Linked DNA regions of Drosophila melanogaster. The protein of the gene in region 1 interacts with the protein of each later gene in a pairwise test. Each region holds a gene or a part of one and is shown in the gene's direction. Other genes may lie near its edges.

Region 1 (7,851 bases):
AACAGCAGAATCATGCTATAGCTGGGTATCAGCCAGACGGGCATGCCAGTGGAAGTACTGGAGCTGGAAGCGGGTGTGGAACTGGGACTTGGACTTGAACTGGTGCCCAGGGAGAAGGCCAGTTCGGTGACCAGGTCACTGGGCTCGGTGTCCATATAGCCATCCCTATCATCATCGCCATAGCTGCTTGTCGCATTGCCCGCCAAGGAGACAGTGCCTCCGTTTCCAGTTCCATTGTAGGGTGCCACGTTGAGCGACACTATGTGACCCGCCGCACTTGGCGCATTGGCATAGTAGTCGAGCAGTGCCCTATAGGCAGCCGCTGCAGCCATGGCCGCCTGGTCGGCATCCCCCTCCTCGTAGTTGAACATCCCGGATGACCGGGTGATTCGTGGCAATCACTGGCCACCACCGCCTGACATGTCCCGTTGCGGGTCACCGAAAAAAATAAAATAAAATTTCACTCAATTGCTATTGAAACGGCGACGCTTGCGCGCAGGCTGGCAAAGATTGCGATATGGAACTCGGGGGTATCCGAGCACACGAGCTGGCGGCTTTGGCTGCCAGGAGAGGGCTCGCCTGCTACCGTTGCGGGTAACGCGTCGTGGGCAACTGACGACTGGCGGACGAGGACGACGCCTCCGCTCCGCTGGGCTAGCTGCCGCAACATGTTGCGTGGGCGATGCCGAATGGCGCAAACTCACCACGGCAACTTGTGGCTAGCAGCATGCTGCCAGGCAGCCCTGTTGCCGGGCAACTCCCATGTTGCGCGGAGGACGTTCCCTGCCGATTGGGACAAATTAATACGGTGCACTGCATCATCCATGGCGTCTGCAGCGGCGGAGCAGCTGCTGTTCGGCCCACGCACCGCGCTAATCATCAAATCAGCCGCATTCCTACGGCACTTGAGTGCCAGAGAATACAATCTCGGCTCGTTATGTGTTTGCACAAATGTTCTGCGCTAATTCCACGGATCGCATTCCCAGCCGACAAGCTGGCAGGGATCAGTGCTGATCTAGACATAGTTTTGGATATATAGCGATTCCGATTAGCACCTATAGCATCTATTTCAAAGACTACCTTTTCGCTTGCAATTGTTGCTCGTTTTTTCGGCGCAGGAAGTGAATGGAATAGCCCTCGATGAAGGAAAATAACATGACCGGGAGCTGCAGTGGTAAGACGTGACTCCACTGGGATACTGGATATGACTATGCCAGGAATCCGTGTTGCCGAAGAAACCCAATAAATCCAATAAATTCATGTTTTGATAGAATAGATAGAATTCACTTCTCGTAAGCCTCTTCACCATCGAGGAAGAGATCTTCTTCAAGGGATTCAGCTGATCCTTAAGGACGTACATAGTTTAGATGGAGGAGTACAGTCGTTGTTTTTCTATCCATCTGACTATACATATATTTGCGCACGATGTTATGGTTTCCTGTGGCCATTGCCAGTTAAGATGGCTAACACGAAGTATTTATGCAAACTTCATTATCATTATAGGAGCATCTAGCAGACTAAATTTTCTCGCGGTGTACGCATAAAACACTAGCCAACATCTGGCTTTTTTTGGTGTTTCCGAAATGCCTGCACTGAAAATGAAAATGAAAATAAAGCCAAATGCGGCGACATCGTCGCAGTTCGCCCGCTCTCGCTTGCTCCCCACGCAGCCGTCTCTGTCGCACCTGCTGTTTGTCTAACAGCTGCCGTGGGGCCTTCTGGCCAGTGCATCTCGCTCGCACGCACGGCGACTGCGCCGCCGACTTCGGCGGTCGACGGTCGGCACTTCATTCGGAGTTGCAGACGCCGGCAACGCCGCATTCGTGAGATACAACTCGTGGTGGTCGGACGAAGTTCAGCGGCTGCTCTAATATCTGGATATCTGGAACTGTGCTGGTTCTGTCCATCGCTCTTTGTGCGCTTGGATTGTGTTTTTTTGTTGTTTTTCTGGCGCTGTGTATTTTTGTTTTCGTTGTCATTGTGCCACTCTGCCACTCTGCCACTTTGTCACCTTGCAAACGGTCAACTCTTCCCGCCAGACCAGCACTCCGTTCCCCTTCGAGACTCACCCGCGATCCCAGGAAGCTGTTCCCAAGAGCACCAGCATCCCAGCTGCGCATTGAAAACCATATCTACATCCACATCCAGAACACAGCGCACCAGCATGTCGGACGGCATCGAGGTCGAGCAATTGGTGGAGAGCAAGCCGAGAAGGGTGAGTAGTGGGGAGTGGGTTGGGCACACATGGAGTTCGAGTTGGAGTTGGAGATGGATGGAGTCGGTAGTCCTGCTCCGGGCAGGGACCATGAAATGTGTGTGTATACCGGCAGGGGACGACCGAAAATTAAGAATTATAAAAGATTGGATGGGGCAGCCAGAAGTCCAGAGAGTCAGAGAGCAGGCCGGAGAGATATCTTATAAATGCACCGAAAGAAAACGGGTACTCAGTATGCTGATCACTTTTAAGGCTGAGCCAATCCGATGGCACAACCTTAAAATGGAAGAAAGTTCTAATCACCACTACATTATAAATACCTACAATTAAAGAATGCTAAAAAAAAATAATATTCTCTTGAGAATAATGATCGATTTTCGAACTTTAAATTGTTCAAATATATATTGAAAAATATTGGGGATTAGTAGAAATATACAATAATATAAAAATTCAATTACCAACAGTGGTATTGAACTCGGACATTGGCTTTAAGGATACAAAATACAGTTTTCTTCCGGTGTACACACTGGAGTTGCTGAAGCCCAGGCCCATGCGGCGTGTGTGTATATCGCTGGGCATGCGTGAGTGTCTGTAAATAACTCTGACATTGGCTCGCCGGCGACTCCGCTCCACAAGAACCGGCCCCAGAGGGCCAGAGGTCCAGGAGGCGGGGTGGCAGCTGGGTTTTATGGCTCTGGCTGGCTGGGCGGAAAGGGGCAGGGCAGGGCAGGAACAGGGACTGAGTACCGAGGGGCAATATCATCTTGGCTGGATGCGATTGCGGGGGCGGATGCAGATTGTGGGGGCGACTCCGAATCCGAATCCGAACCCAAAAACTGAATCCGAATGCGACGCCTTCGCAGCGATGCATATCAAGTTCAAGTGCGTTTGCAGTGCGGCTGCCGCTGCTGCACTTGCTCGCTGGGATCTCGAGACACCATCGATACCCAACGAAGACGCTGCGGTTAATGCGGCGCAGTCCGTCGCCCTGGCAAACACGTATAGCTTTCCAGATTACGGTATTTAGCGGGCACTGGGAGCTGGGTAAATGGTTGCAGTGCCATTATCTTGCGGGTACTTCGTTCAGCTGATCGCAAGATCTGCGTTTCATGTGACTTTTGGTGCACAGCACTTGTTCGCCAACCTAATCTCTATGGCATCAAACAAAACGATTGTGCAGGCCAATAAATATTACAATTTCGAGGTTTCCAAGTGCAGGCAAACAAGTGAGTAATAAAAGTGTATGGAATCGATGGGGATATCGGCCATTCCACACCCTTTCAATGCTCGGGAATCGCTTCCTGACGCGCCAATTTTGGTCATCCACTCCCCGAGTCGTCGTCGTCGTCGTCACCTTCAGGCGGCATGAATCACGCACTCGGAACCTCGTTTCCCGCAACCCGCAACCCGTACCCCATACCGATACCCCGTACCCATCAGAATGACCATCCACAACCCCATCCGGCATCCCAGATCCCCCGACTCCGGGCGTCTGGGGCGTGAGCAGCCACAAAACAGTTTGCTCCTTTGTTTCCTGCACTGTTTGTGCTAGTGTGCGTGGCGAATGAAACATCGACGGCAGCGGAATAAAAATAAGAAATAAAATGAAATGAAATAAAGTAAAGTAAAGTGGGGGAAAAAGAACATTGACATATCGGCGGTCCCAGACCCGGAGCAAGTACGTCATTGCGACTGCGCTGCGGCAACTGGCAATTTGTCACAACATTGCCAATTATTTTTTTTGCTTGTTTTATTTATTTTTTTTTTTTTTTTGGACTTAGTCTGGCCAAGGCGAAGCGGTTAATAACCGATTCGCTGCAATTTATTGGTTATTTTCCAATTGCCTTGCCAATGAGTCAGTTGCATCGACCCACGAATATTCCGCATATTGTGTTTTCACTGTGCATGTATGTCATATATATATCTGCATCGCCTCTCCTTTATTTTCCTTTATTCATGCCCGATCGTATTATTTGGAATTTTTTTCGTTTCTTATCTGAAATTCATTAGTCAACATAAAACACTTTCGGTCCACTTGTACATACACAATGAAAAAGCGAATAAAATACAAAATGTTTAGTGCAATCGAAAGTGAATACTCTAACTTTTATTGTTCATACTTCAGTATTTGCTTTATGAGCTCACGATCTATATATACCATACAATTAGATATATAAACTATACAAACAGAGTTAACTTGAAATAATGTCAGTGGTGTATACCAGGCATCGAATGATAAAAGATACGGATATAATACCATTCACTCTGTAGTTCTCGATAGCTTGCTGTTTACTTAAGGACAGGATTATTTACATACAATACGTTCTCATAGATGTTTATTTTAAAGGTATCCCAAGAATTTCTACAACTGCGATACCTTTCACAAGGGTATCAGCGTTGAGTTACGCAGCAAGTCAGTTTCAAGCACCTGGCGCTGGGGATTCGGTTTCGTTTTCGTTAGCAAATTGTTATTTGCTGTATTATGCTTGGTTACGTTTAGCTGCAGTTATAGCCGCGTTTGATGCATCGCCGGCCCGCTCATTGCCAGATATCGATGGATATAGCTATAGATACTATAGCTACATATATCTAGCTGGCAATGCAGCGTGCTGTATGAATGCACACATGGGCATATATGGCTCATTACGTACGAATCCACATATATAGATAGATATAATACATATGTACATCTATCTATCGGATATGGCCGCAAGCCATTTGAGTAGCGCGAATTGTTTGGCAGATGGCTTTCCTGCTGGAAAGGTGGCTAACTCAATGGATCTGTTAGGATTATTGGTGGTTCCAAGTGAAACTGAAAATATGTATGCATATACATTTCCTGTCATCGCTACAAGGTTACTTATCAGACTGTTGCTCACTGTTTTCCATCGAGAATCACGAATCACGATTAACCGTATCAATTATGGACTGGCTACTGTCGCTCGCTTTTCTATGCGAATCTTTCGAGGATGACGCACTCTGACTTTCCTTGAAACTATTGTAGTTTCCCTTTTTTCGATATATTTCCTGAAGCCAGCGCAATATCTCGATTCCTATGACTAAGCGTCAATCTCTGCTGAATTTTTATGGCGTGTAAAATTGGAACAGGCGAGCCCTACAGATTTAACCGGCACTAATTGCCCGGGCGATCCCAAGAACTTTCGGTAATAAATCAATTACAGTTCCTTTAGTTTTGCGACAGTTTTCTTATCAGAGCAAATAGATGGCATTGCGTCAATTCCGGAGGTGGGGCTATCCGAGCCTATCCTATCCGATCTTTGGGTGCACTCCCAGCCCAACTGGAGTGATCTAATTTGTCGTGTTGTCATTGTGTCAGAAGTGGAGATATGGCCATATAGGCATATATATGTATATAGATACATATGTGCGAACGTTATCGGGCTTATCGGCTGGAAACTTAATTTCAGCTAATTTTAGCCAACAATTTGGCTCACGTACCCGTGGAGGTTGCAGGAGGAGCACCGACATTTCTATATACATTTGTATCTGCTATCTTGCTTGTTTGGGGGAAAATTTGTCGGGTATTTTCGGTGGGTCATTCGCTGCAACGGTTTCTTAGTCGTCCGCTCATTTTTGGCACAGTTTGCGTCCGCATCTTGTTCATTTTTTTTTTTTTTTTGCCTGCCTTCCGACTAATTAATTCAGAGCCACGAAACGGGAGATTCAGAGCTGTTCCATAGTTCTATGCGACGCATAGAATACACATACAAACTCCAAGTTCTTACTGCGTCGCGTTGTGAAAGTCGTCGCCCGAAACATCTTTGGGTTTAATTGTTTGGCTTTTGATATTTTCGACAGTCGTCGCTTTTCTAATTGATTTTTCTCACCAGACGCCGTACTCTCCGGTCATTGAACGCATTATAGAGCGATCTCTATCTCCATCTTCCCATCGGTATCTGTATCTGTATCTGTATTTGTACCTTTAGCTGTATCTGTATCCGTATCTCTGGCCCAGCTTCAATGTCTATTTATACGCGAGTCTAGTTCCTGACTCCAAGCCCGATCCATTTGGCTGGCAGTTGGACCAACAGTCATTTGGCTCTCTTTGTTTGTTGTCATCCCGTTCCGACGACCCCAAGTCACTTATCAAATCTCTGACCTGCTTTCCGCCGGCTGCTGATTGAAAATTGTCACGCGTAAATTGATTTTAATGCGGCGATCCGCTTAAGACAATAAGAGTGCACTACGTGAAAGGGTAGTTTTCCGATCCGTACTACAAGTATACTCGTATCAAAAACCATCGATCCAATCGCTTTACACGCTTTCCACGCATCTAAGCTGAGCCTAACTTTGTGCACATAATGCTACCCCAAAGATCACTTAATAAACCACAATTAAAATTAATCTTTAGCTAACCAAAATCGTATTGAGACTTGGTTTTTTACATTTCACTATCAAGCCATTCGAACTTATCAAGCAATTTAAATTCATTTACATATCGATATTTTTAAATCATCATATTTTTGGGCTTTGAACCAGAACCCTGAACCCTCATATGTGTGTGCTGATATCATTATCAAAAATGCTGTAATTTAATATGCGGGTATGTTCCAGTATGTTATCATAATAAAGCCTTTATTTTTTCTTCGAAATATGTACATATTTACATTGGCTACTTTTCCGCTGGCCCGCTGGTATTATGTTTATAAAGCACTAAAGCGGCAACAAATTGCTTTCCGTGAATCTGCCCGAACGTAATGCAAGTGGGCGATGCAATGGCGTGCCTATTCCCCTGGCCGACTTGAGGTTGCCTGACACGGAAACAAGTCGAATTGAATGTAATATAACCATCGAAAGCGAAAGCACCGCTTAAATCTGACTCATAGATGGCGCCGTCAAGAGTACTTGGCCCCGCATTGAGTACATACAATACATTTCGCTATCGATGGGCCAAAGCGGATGATCCATTCGCCTTGGCGAAACGATTCGGACTTGGAATACATGATTAAGATATATACTTCCGTCTGAAAGTTGCTTATAGTTCCCCTCTTCGCTTGCTTATAATCCTCTTCCCCCTTGCTCTTTCGCAGATGCCGCTGGCCACGTCGCTGGAGAAGGACTCGATTCGCGAGGCCTACGAGGATGTACGCTCCGATCTGACAGACACCGAGTGGGCGGTATTCAAGTTCGATGGCGCCCAGATTATTGTACATGCGCGCGGTCAGTGCTTTGAGGAATTCCGACAGCAGTTCGGCGACTCGGAGCGCGCCTTTGGCTACATACGCATCCAGATGGGTGACGAGATGTCCAAGCGCAAAAAGTTCATCTTCCTGACGTGGATCGGGCAGGAGGTGGGCGTCATCCAGAGGGCCAAGATGTCCACGGACAAGGCGCTGATCAAGGATGTCCTCAACGTGAGTAGCCAATAGCTAGAGATGCCAGAGCCCAGAGGCAGAAATAGATCCTCTCATCTCTAATCTCTTGCAGAATTTTGCCGTGGAACTTCAGGCGGGAGTGGAGGCCGAGCTGGACATTGAGCTCTTCCGTGAAGCACTGAACCGTGCCGGCGGCGCCAACTACGGAACGGGCATCCGGGATAACTAAGCGGCCTCCAAGTTACTTTACATATACATTTTTTTTTGCAACTCTTAACTGCTTACCAAACTGCTCCTTTC
Region 2 (7,882 bases), about 19 Mb from region 1:
CTGGTAATTTAAACCGAAATTAAATTTTTATGGCACAAAATCGCCTGAATGAGTAATGAAATTGTATTTTTTGGCAAAACTTTTGAAAACAACATAGAGGAGAAATTGTAAGTTTTTCATTCTGTACATTCTGTATGGAAACATTTTCTGTTGAATACAGGTGAATAGTGAATTTACTATAAAATTAAGCAAGTTATGTATTCAAATGTTAGACAACTATTTTTATAGATTTATCAGGGGTTAGTTCATAACATGGCCAAAACAGATATCACCGCTAATATGCAGTCTGTTTCGTACTGCCAATAAACATAGCTAACTATCCCTATCACTATTTTCATTATTATTATATTATTAAACTCTTGGACAGCTATTATAAGATATAACCGCTTAAATAAATACTATTTCGTACTGCCAATAAACATAGCTAACTATCCCTATCATTAAAATTTGCGAAAAATGGGAAAAAAAAAATTAATTTTTATTTCTTCATACAGGACGATAGGGAATTTTGCTACGAATTCAATGAGGTTGACATTTAACTCTTTGACAGCTGTTTTTAATGCTATTGAGAAAATACTGATTACTTTTTACCAAAAATAAACAAAATAAAAATTGCCAAAAATAAACAAAATAAAAATTTGCAAAAATCGGATATTTACAAACGGGTTTTTTTTTCATAACTTGGCCAAAAAAGATTCACCGGCAAAATTAGGACTACAGATTGTTGTTTGCCAAAAAAAAAGAGCAAGATAAAAATGTTGTCTCCATAGCTGCGACAAAAAATTGTATCACAGGTATTTTGAAGACTGCTGTTTATAAAACTAGCTAACTGTCCCCATACCTATTTTATGTTTTTCGAATACAAACTAAGATCTGTGAAAAATAGAAACTACCAAAGGATGACATTCCAAAACAGGTGCCAAGCTAACGGGTGTCGAGAAACGCGTAAAGCAAGTAAAGCCTTTTTAATTTAAAAAGTGGATAGGCTAAACTTTATATAATTTTTGACACTTTGTCTTTAAGCGAACGGCGGCAGAAGAGCCAGATTCCACCGACTTCTACTGGAAAAACTCGTTTCGCGTTTTTTCTTAAGCGTTGAACCAATATGGTAACTCCTTTTACTGACCAAAATTTCAGAGAGAAATTCACTAAACGCACCGAATGTTTACCTTTTCATCAACAAAATAATATTGGCTGCCTCAATTTTCGCTTCTTGTACATGTTCTGTATAGGCTTTAATTGATATTTCTCTTAAACCATCAACAGGTTTTCGGTCGACTTGGCCAATTGCAGTTGGAACCAAACCGCTTCTTACCCCCTTTTCTTTCAAGCTGGCAATTTTTCTTGTGTTTCAGGTTTTCCTTAGTGCAAAATTGAGCGGAAAAACTCGGCCGATTTTGCTTCCAGTCTATATTCATATATCCAGCTCAACCATTTGGCACTTAACACTGCAATTACCAGCGAAATTTCAATATTTCCACAAGGGACTTAATCGCCGGAATCATGATACTCTTACATTCGTAAAAGTTATTGTGCGCTAAAAAAGGCACCCATATTTGTCAGGCACTGGACAGGTTGTGAGCCTTCAAAATGTGGTATGTAATATAGTGGTTCGGGAAGATTATTCATATTCATGTCTCCGGACCCCAAAAACTTTAAAACCAGTTAAGGATCACCAGCTATCGCTTGACATTTGTTCACCTAACACACGATCACAAAGCGAGTTTTAAAGAAGGCCTTTACAAAAGGTGGGGGGCACGACTCTACGTGATGGGGCCGAAAGACTTCGTCTACGACGCCTGGTCTTCGGCTATTTTTGTTCGGTTAAGCAAACCCGAAATTCAAGCCACCAGTCTTCAGTTCAAACTCAGTCAATAAAGTCGCAGTGCGGAAAAATATCGCAGACTCGAGAGTTGAAAACAACAAATAATAAGTAGCATAACTCTCTCTCTGTCGCACTCAATCAGGCCTGGGCCTGGCAGACTGTGTGTAAAATAAATAAATCAAAAAACAAAATTCAAGACATTATAGTGAATTTAAAGTGAATTATCAAGTATATATTCGCGTCGCGTTGGAAAATATACTTTTTTTTTTTTTTTTGTTTCTATAATAAAGTTTTGTCTAAGTGTAATTCTTTTAGCCAACCAGGTTTTAACTTTAATTAGACACATTCCAAAAGGTGAGCTCCAAACGTGTCTTAGGGCCAAAAGCTGGGCCTTCGAATGACGACGGCACGATCCCCCACATTCCCCGCTTTGTATTCCGATTTTATCTTGGCTTCAACTGCAGATTTTTCCACACTAGCTAAAGCGTGTTTAGCTTTGCATTCCGATTTTATCTTGGCAACAGAAACAATAATGCGCCAGATATAATTATTAAATCATGGCAAGCAATGGCTTGAATGCAAAAAGCAACAAGTTCTGATATGGGGAAACCGGTTCTGGAATAGCTCTTCCACAAGCTCGCACACAAGATTGTTGATCCTGTTGCTCAAATCATTTAAGATTCAGACAGGTTCACTTTTAAATTTGGATGCATTTATTAACTGAGTACCGAAAAAAATTAACCGTTGCTACGCTTTTTGAGAATGTGTTTCTTTGGTTCAGAGCCCGTTTTCTTAAGTATTTTTAACTCTATTTCAGAGCTTGTTTTTAAACAGATTTAACAGTACAGATATGATAAAGGTAAACCATTAACTAAATTCGACCAAAATTATGTTCAACACCACACTCTTCTGACATAAAAAAAAAAAAAAATGAAAACACAGGCTATAGACGAGTGCCATGACTGCAAAGCAAATGCAGATATATTTCTATATAATAAAAATATTTTTCGAAAGTGTATAGATATTTCGTTGTGGATTCTTTGTCAGTTGCATGGAAACGGCGTATACGCAACAAAAAATTATTAGGCATGTCCAAACAGAGACATATGATTAAAATTCCCGAAGCATACGCAGATCAACCATCAAAAAACCTCAATTATAAAGTGGAAACACTAGGAAAGGAAAGTTTGATGACAACGTCCTAAATGTTCGCGATTACACTGAACTTTTTTTTTATTTTTTCGAATTGACTGCCACTGATGGTTAAGTCAGCAGAATTTGTTAATCTGTCTGTCTCTATTTTATTATCGTTTCCAACCGTTCTGTGCCTATCCATTTGATGTAAGATATCCTTGACTTTTGGGGCCTTCCCGCAGAAACAAAGATGTTTACAGTTATATACGTGTAAGCCCTTAAGCATCAATTGATTAAGTCCCATCTGATTTCGTGTATGTTTCCAACAAGAAAAAAGCTTAAAAGTGCATAGAAGGCATTCCAAATGGTTGCAAATAGAAAATAAGAAATAATAAAAAAAAAAAACATTTCAGAGAAGCAATTGACTTTGTTGAAATAGAAATAGCTTTGAAAGTGGCACAAAGCAATTTTAATGCTGAATGGAGCGTGAAGTTGTTCAGCTGCAACGCAAAGCATTTTTTAAGATTTTATTTTCGATTTTTGGGCCAACAAGAGTAGACATCTAAATTTAAAATAAAGTGCAATTATACATGACACACACACGATATCCGAATTTGCTTATGAATCAATAATTGGTTTGCAAACAAAAATACAAAGGTTTTATACATCGAAACAACTTTTTACACAACCTCGTCGTAGCAAGATATAAATATTTGCAAGATATAAAAATGAAATATCTTTAAAAAGAAAGACTTATACACAAAGCTATATAAACTGGAATTGTCATGCTAACAAAAATTATCTATACATACTTTATACGTTATCATCAAATACTTTCTTCCTTGCATAGAAACCCTTTGATTGAACTCATTTTATCCTAGCCAAGGGAACAATTCGGTCGAAAGCGATGGTAGATTATCATTTATAGGTTTCCTTTTACTACTCCCACGAAATGTAACCACATATTGATGGGTCGCAATAATGATGTCATCCGATCCCAAATTCTCGGAGTAAAGTGCCATCACGCCCGTGCTTAGCTCACTTGACTGGAAGCCGATGATCTAATCTTAATGGGGAATAGCAACATCAACAATCGCCACTATCTTACATCTGAACTTGAAAACAAGCGGAATATAATAAAAAAGTGCTGGTTGTGAACTTCAATAGAATGGCAACGCCGTAAACTTAATCAAAAACAAAGAACTAAAAAGAAAAGTCTTGCAAAGATTTTTAATTCATTGCAGTGGGTATGTTAAATCGTGGCCAAACACGATAGATTCATACAATATGTATATAGAACAATGAAAGTAATGTACTTCACATCTTAGCTCAGATACGAAATCTTGTAAATATAATTCTTAACTAAAAATTAAATAAATTAAATTCGTTAAATCTTCTCACTAAGTTTTTCCAATTTCCTCGTATTGTTTGATTGCCATAATGCTTTTGTTTTTTAAGCCGTTTGTTTGTTTTATTACCTAGCCGGTTGCGGTTGCAGTATCACTGTATCGGTAGTTTGACCAAAATCAGCGTACATTACGTTTATCCTACACATAAATTCCGCGAGTAAGCCCGAAATGCTGCAGATATGGCAAGCCCATTTCCGAGCGTCAACAAATTTCTTTCAGCTTAACAATGAAGGAAAACGGTGAAGCAGTCAGAGTATGTAAATTTAACAGCTAGTTCAAGCAAAAGATAAAACTGTCATTATGCCTTTAATTTTCATAATTTACCTCGAAGAATTATTTGATCACCAATAAATTTTTTTTAATAATGATCAAAAATCAAATATCAAAACTTCAAGCGGCGTAAACTGATACCGACTGGAACTATTTATTTGCTGTGTAATTGGGTTAAAAAGACTTGTCATAGCTCTTCAACTAGAGTAGTATGGGCACAAACTCTCAGTTCGGTTCATCCCCTGTCTGTAAAACGCACATACCAGACCCCATCCTTCCTTCATTTTCCTCATCAGAAGTGGAAAGTCGAGAAAACGTAGTCATAGCTTACTTCCAAATGGTTGGGTACGCCTCGCTGGACACGTTCGTTTGACGTGTCCATGGATCCAAAAATACTTGGATAGCTATGTATCTATATGCCGTTACCCCACTTGGAACATTTTCGATTTCTTCAAGAGATCGGCCGAATTTTTGTACACGCGTTGAAAAATGTGCAATAATTAAATAATTACAAATAAAAAGAGAGGAAATAGTGCAAGACAAGCGTAAAGTTGTTATTTGAGGCTCAAGAGTCAGACTGAGATGTACATGCATATGTATACGTGTATGTATATCCACTTCATATACTGCAAGTGCAATCTCAGGTTACCCAACTCTAGAGGGTGATTAAACTCCTCGTTTGGAAGAGAAAGTGTCCAATAAAGTAAATATATACGTGTTACACACATTTTCGTTATCAAACCTTTATAAACTTCTTGATGTTTAATTTCCTAACATCTTAATATACCCAGACTATATAAATTCAATCTCTGGTTACCGAACTCTAAAAGGTTATTAAACTTCTCGCCTAAATGAAAAAGTGTCGATTAGATCCAGACATAGTTTCATTAAAAAACATTTATAAAGTTCTTAATATTTAAATACCCAATCTCATATATATTCTTAGAGGTTTAAAACGCATTGGGTTTATTATATATTGCTTATTGTTTATTATTATATTGCATCAAGTCTACTGCGATTCTTCGGTCACTACGAGACACCGCAGAACTAAAAAGGATTGCATATTAAGACTTCAGGAGAAAGTGAAATTAAAAATTCTAAAATTTATTATATATATTAATATATAATAAGAGCTGTTCGAGGTCGTAGGGATAAATGTCATTGACATCTTGCTCAAAACGCATCGAATGAAACATCAGTTGTAAAAACCGAACACCTTAAACATTTTACGATAATGCCCCAAAGCTTTTGAGGTTCGTGTTACATTTGCAACTGTATAGCACTTCAGATTGCTTAACTATTTGCTATTTATATACAATTTCTTTCTTTTTTTAATTCGGCTATATAATCAAATCCTCTAAAATGTACCAATTAAATGCACTATAACGTTAAACTCTTGCTAGGTTTAAATATTTTTATGAAGATTGCCGACTGAGTAAATGTAAGAAAGATCATCTGTAGTCAGTATAAAACAAATTACATTTTCAGTTCTACCACATTGTTCACCTTTAATCTCACCTTTTTTCTGCTATTCCAGCGATGTCATAATGGAGGCAATGACCATGCTGGTGTTGGGCTTCCAGTTGCTTGCGCTTTTTTCGATCGCCGGCGCGCTGCTTATCTACCTGATTTGTAAGGTGCGCGAGGATAGCGCATCTGCCAATGCGGATAGTCATCCCAGTCGGGTGGTCCTGATAACCAGTGCGGATACCGCATTGGGTCTTCAATTGTGCACCCATTTGGCTAACAAGGGTTATCGGGTTTTTGCTGGAATGAAAGAGGCCCAAGATTCGCTACCCGCCAAACTTCTTTGCGGTTGGATGAAGATCCGAGAGTACAGTGAGGAACCCATTGCAGGCACAATTATTCCGATGAGATTGGATGTCACCCGAGAGGATGTGCTTCGCGAGGCCACCGTTATTATAGGCGCTAATCTAAATGCAGATGAGCGCGGTATTGCGGCCGTAATTAACACTAGTGGCAGTGTTTTCCGAGGCCAGGTTGAATCGCAGAATGTCCAGCAGTGGGAACACATGCTCAGAACCAACATCCTGGGCACCTTACGTGTGGCCAAGGCCTTTGTGTGTTTTCTCCGTCCGACACGTGGAAGACTCCTTTACTTGGGAGGAGTAAGTGGAGGTGGAAATGCTCGAAACGAAGGTGATGGACTGGTTGCCTTTAACGCCTCACGCGTTGCCGTAGACAAGTGTGCCGAAGAGCTGCGCAAGGAGCTGCATCCCTATGGCGTCAGTGTGGTCGCTTTGGATACATGCGGCATGACGGCGGAGTCATTGTACAAGGCACCAGTGGCACAAAGTAATGTTTTCCATCATCGTTGGGAATCAATTATATATAATTTTATGTTTGTAATTTATTTCAGCCATGTCCTTGGTCGTTGGGGCTCCTACGCAGTATACAGCGGACGTGCTCAGTCCGGACGCTCTTCATGTGATCGAGCGGGCGTTGTGGGACTATGTTCCGCAGCAGCGATATGCGCTTCTAAGTCATAACAAATACCAATTTGCGTTGCCATGTCGCTCCTCGCTGCGACTTCAGAGGCCGGTAGCTTCAACAGTCGGCGAGAGCGCCAGTCAGTCGGTTTAAAATTTGTCTTCTTCCATTTCCTGTACATATGCTCCTGATCCTGATCCCATTTAGTATAACGCGTCTGATCCTGCTCCTTTCCCTAATTTAATATTTTTACAATATATTTCGATTGATGTTTCTTTTTTCTGTTCTGAGGGCTTTTATAATATTTACTTTTTAATCGTTTTTGCTCACACTGCTAACGGTGTAATTGTTGAACGTTATATTTAATGTTATCATACATAAAAAAATAAAGATAATATATGTGCTGTCTATATATGTCTGTCCAACTTCTGGAATTTATACCTTTGTTTTACATTTTACGTTTGTGTAGTTCTTATTCGTACTTCGAGATAAAGTCAAAGCGCAACACGGAGGCCGGGAAAATTTCACCAGCTTTCGCCAATGGTCGATCAGAAGTACGTGCAGGAAGGTTTATTAAAACATCGGCACCAACAATGCTCTGCAAGCGACTACTAATCTAGAATAATCGCAGGAAAACCGTCATAATATGTCGTTTAATTTAAGGAAAAGTGGCTTACTTGATTTCCATTGACGCTCGCGTATAACTCTCCAGACTTCGAAATCACGGAGGCCCGAACGAACTCCGGGCGGCTATCTAAGCTGAAGTCATTAAGCAACTAAAAGAAAATATATT
Region 3 (3,542 bases), on another chromosome or scaffold:
TCCAGCTCCGGACTGTCCTTTGCTCCTGGAAGTGGCAGCATTGGAGGTGGATCCATTGGAGGTGGTTCGATTGGAGGAGGCTCCATTGGAGGAGGATCCATTGGAGGAGGCCTCATTGGTGGTGGCTCTATCGGAGGCGGTTCCATTGGAGGTGGTTCCCTTGGTGGTTCCATCGGTGGTGGCTCTATTGATTCCGGTCTTGGCGGTCTTGGTGGACTCGGTGGTCTAGGAGGTGGCGACGCTCTGGCCGCTCCAGTCTCCTACAACGCCCCCGCTCCCGCTGCTGAGCTCCAGAAGGAGTTCTTCACCTACTCCGCCAACGAGCAGGACTTCGATGAGCCACAAGAACTGGAGCGTGTTGCTGGATCCGTAAACAAGGGACTGCGCGTTGTCTTCATCAAGGGACCCGAGAACCGTGGTCTGGAGAACGCTGCCCTAGCCCTCGCCAAGCAGGCTGCCCAGCAGGAGACCGCCATCTATGTCCTGAACAAGCAGGCCGATATTGGAGATCTTGCCCAGAAACTGAACGCCATCCGCAACAACAATAACAACAAGCCCGAGGTGCACTTCGTCAAGTACCGCACTCCCGAGGATGCTGCCAACGCCCAGCGCGCCATCCAGTCGCAGTACGACCAATTGGGAGGATCCTCTCAGGCCCACAACGGTGGTGTGGCACCCGCCCTGAACTTCGCCTCCGCTGGTCCCGTCCAGAAGGCTAATGCTCAGATCCCTGAGAACGCTTACCTGCCCACTTCCATCTTCCGTCGTCGTTTGTAAATATTTTAACGACTTCGAGATGAAGGCGTTGACTGTTCTTGTTAAATCTTATTGTTGAAATCTATTGATAAATAATATACAAAAATCTGAATACAAACATTCTATGATATTTTATATTGGATGGTGGTGTAGTAAACAATAGTGTATACCTTCCGATGACAACATGAGTGGAGTTACAAGTTGGGCTTTTAGAAAATTATTTCAGTCTTTGGTGAGATTTTTCGACCTGTTTTTATTGCACAAAAAGTTTGGTAATGACTTTTAATTTGAATTTATTCTTAAAAAGGTGCAACGCTATTAACTTAATACAAAGCAAAAGACCTTTAAAACTCATTAAGAATTTGGTAAGCTATATTACCCAAGGCAGCTTCCCGATGACCTTGACGTTTAATATTTGTCATAACCAAAATATTATCCTACGAAGTACTGGGAAAAGAATAAAATAAAATATTTCCGCATATTTTAAATGTAGGCAAAATGTTTTTACGACAAAAAAGTTAAATTAAATATAAACATATCGTTTTCACCACTCTCAAGTTAAATTTTTTATTTCATTAGTAATATATGCGAAAATAAAGAATCAATGAACTGGGGGCGGCATTTCAAACATCTCATTAGACGACTTGCTAAATTTAGCGCTTGCATCATGTCCATAAATCAGAACTAAACAGATGTGTCGAAAACGATTATAATGACTAAACGATTGTCATTCAGTCGGAAAAACCAAGTGCAGATGTCCTACATAAAACAAGCTTTTAGCCTTGCCGAAGAATTTGTCAAAAAAATGTATTTTATATAATACTCGTACCTAATTATGACCCATCTGCATGTTAAACTCATTCCGACGTGCTCGCGACATATTAATTTTATAATTCAATATGAATTCTTGTAAACTATTGGACGAAACTCGAAATATTTGAATAACCCACGACGGCCAGACTCTGCCCATTGAAACGCAACCAAAAAATTCCACACCGAACATTAAAAAAAACAGAGGAAGCAAAAACCTTTGTAGGCGGCAAAACACAGTGGCTTCAAAGAAATCTCCGTGCAGCAGACGCCGCGGCGGTATCTTTGTCTTTATCAGCCTCCAAGATGGATTTGTATAAATAATAAAGATCGCTCCTAGCCAGAGACACAAGCAACTCATACCTCAAAGCAAAAGAACCAGCAATCTGCTTAAGATGCGCGCATTCATTGTAAGTAGCGCGGTTAAGGATTCAAAGGATTATACGCCAGGATAACACTTCTCTTTTCATGCCTCCAGGTCCTGTGTTTGGTGGCAGTCACCTGCGCCGATAAGCTCGGCTACAACTACCAGCCCGTTGGCCACTCCAGCTCCGGACTGTCCTTCGCTCCTGGCAGCGGCTCTATCAGTGGTGGATCTATTGGAGGAGGCTCCATCGGAGGAGGTTCTATTGGAGGAGGCTCTATTGGAGGAGGCCTCATTGGTGGTGGCTCTATCGGAGGAGGAAGCATCGGAGGTGGATCCCTTGGTGGTTCCATCGGTGGTGGCTCCATCGATTCCGGTCTTGGCGGTCTTGGTGGACTCGGTGGTCTAGGAGGTGGCGACGCTCTGGCCGCTCCAGTCTCCTACAACGCCCCCGCTCCCGCTGCTGAGCTCCAGAAGGAATTCTTCACCTACTCCGCCAACGAGCAGGACTTCGATGAGCCACAAGAACTGGAGCGTGTTGCTGGATCCGTAAACAAGGGACTGCGCGTTGTCTTCATCAAGGGACCCGAGAACCGTGGTCTGGAGAACGCTGCCCTGGCCCTCGCCAAGCAGGCTGCCCAGCAGGAGACCGCCATCTATGTCCTGAACAAGCAGGCTGATATTGGAGATCTTGCCCAGAAACTGAACGCCATCCGCAACAACAACAACAACAAGCCCGAGGTGCACTTCGTCAAGTACCGCACTCCCGAGGATGCTGCCAACGCCCAGCGCGCCATCCAGGGTCAGTACGACCAGCTGGGAGGATCCTCTCAGGCTCATGATGGTGGTGTTGCACCCGCCCTGAACTTCGCCTCCGCTGGACCCGTCCAGAAGGCTAACGCCCAGATCCCCGACAACGCCTACCTGCCCACTTCTGTGTTCCGTCGTCTGCGTTTCTAGGAAGGCTACATCTTGGACTCCATTAACTTAAGCAAATCTCGACTGAAGAACTCATTCTTCCTGTTACACGTTGTTGACTAATGCATAATTACACCAATAAATTTGAAATTTAAATACGAAAATTTAAACAAAGGTCTACCTTATGTGTTTTATAGAGTGAGATTTTTATTGCGGCTTGGCCATAGTAGCTAATGGTGCATTAAGTCCGCCTTGTTTGGCTTGATTGTTTGCGGATGGGTTAAGTATAAAAAGTGCCCTTCAAACTATAAATATCTCGAATTGACGACATCAAGATCAGGAAAGGCAGTTCGGAGCAGGTTTCCTTTATGAGTTTAAGCCCTCGTCGAATCATATTCACCTAGACTTTCCATACAAATCAATGGACTAATTATCTGACATAGCCAACTCGCATGCCGCCAAATTAATTGACTACAAGATTAGATCCACCCACTTGGCCAGCGGGAAGCATTAATACCGGACTCCCGGCCAACGAGGAACTGGTTCTTTCCCGACGACAGCTCAAGGTCGCGAAGATGCCAACAACTGTTAGATGACCTGGTTTCCGAGGCCCGTCGTGTGTCACGTACAATTAGAAAGGAATCTCAAGTGCAACCCACATACGAAGGCAATGAAGATTTATGCCCAATCGAAA

The links. Proteins that work in one complex are often made in the same cells at the same time.
Region 2: the proteins of CG6891 (region 1) and CG13377 interact in a two-hybrid assay, tested with the Drosophila melanogaster proteins (one large-scale study listed by BioGRID).
Region 3: the proteins of CG6891 (region 1) and TwdlB interact in a two-hybrid assay, tested with the Drosophila melanogaster proteins (one large-scale study listed by BioGRID).

What each region holds. Positions count from the first base shown.
Region 1 is NC_004354.4:18,773,415-18,781,265, forward strand, and holds the start of CG6891 (uncharacterized protein), read left to right. Parts: upstream 1-1,813; 5' UTR 1,814-2,164; coding exon 2,165-2,215; intron 2,216-3,083; exon of another isoform or gene 3,084-3,441; intron 3,442-6,218; exon of another isoform or gene 6,219-6,431; intron 6,432-7,266; coding exon 7,267-7,590; intron 7,591-7,663; coding exon 7,664-7,780; 3' UTR 7,781-7,851. Other genes in the region: CCKLR-17D3 (Cholecystokinin-like receptor at 17D3), read right to left, coding at 1-371.
Region 2 is NC_004354.4:257,965-265,846, reverse strand, and holds CG13377 (uncharacterized protein), read left to right. Parts: upstream 1-1,847; 5' UTR 1,848-1,985; exon of another isoform or gene 1,986-2,179; intron 2,180-6,156; exon of another isoform or gene 6,157-6,175; 5' UTR 6,176-6,185; coding exon 6,186-6,954; exon of another isoform or gene 6,955-7,018; coding exon 7,019-7,242; 3' UTR 7,243-7,512; downstream 7,513-7,882. Other genes in the region: cin (cinnamon), read right to left, coding at 7,562-7,705, 7,767-7,865.
Region 3 is NT_033777.3:26,621,916-26,625,457, reverse strand, and holds TwdlB (TweedleB), read left to right. Parts: upstream 1-1,914; 5' UTR 1,915-1,961; coding exon 1,962-1,976; intron 1,977-2,044; coding exon 2,045-2,890; 3' UTR 2,891-3,007; downstream 3,008-3,542. Other genes in the region: TwdlL (TweedleL), read left to right, coding at 1-777.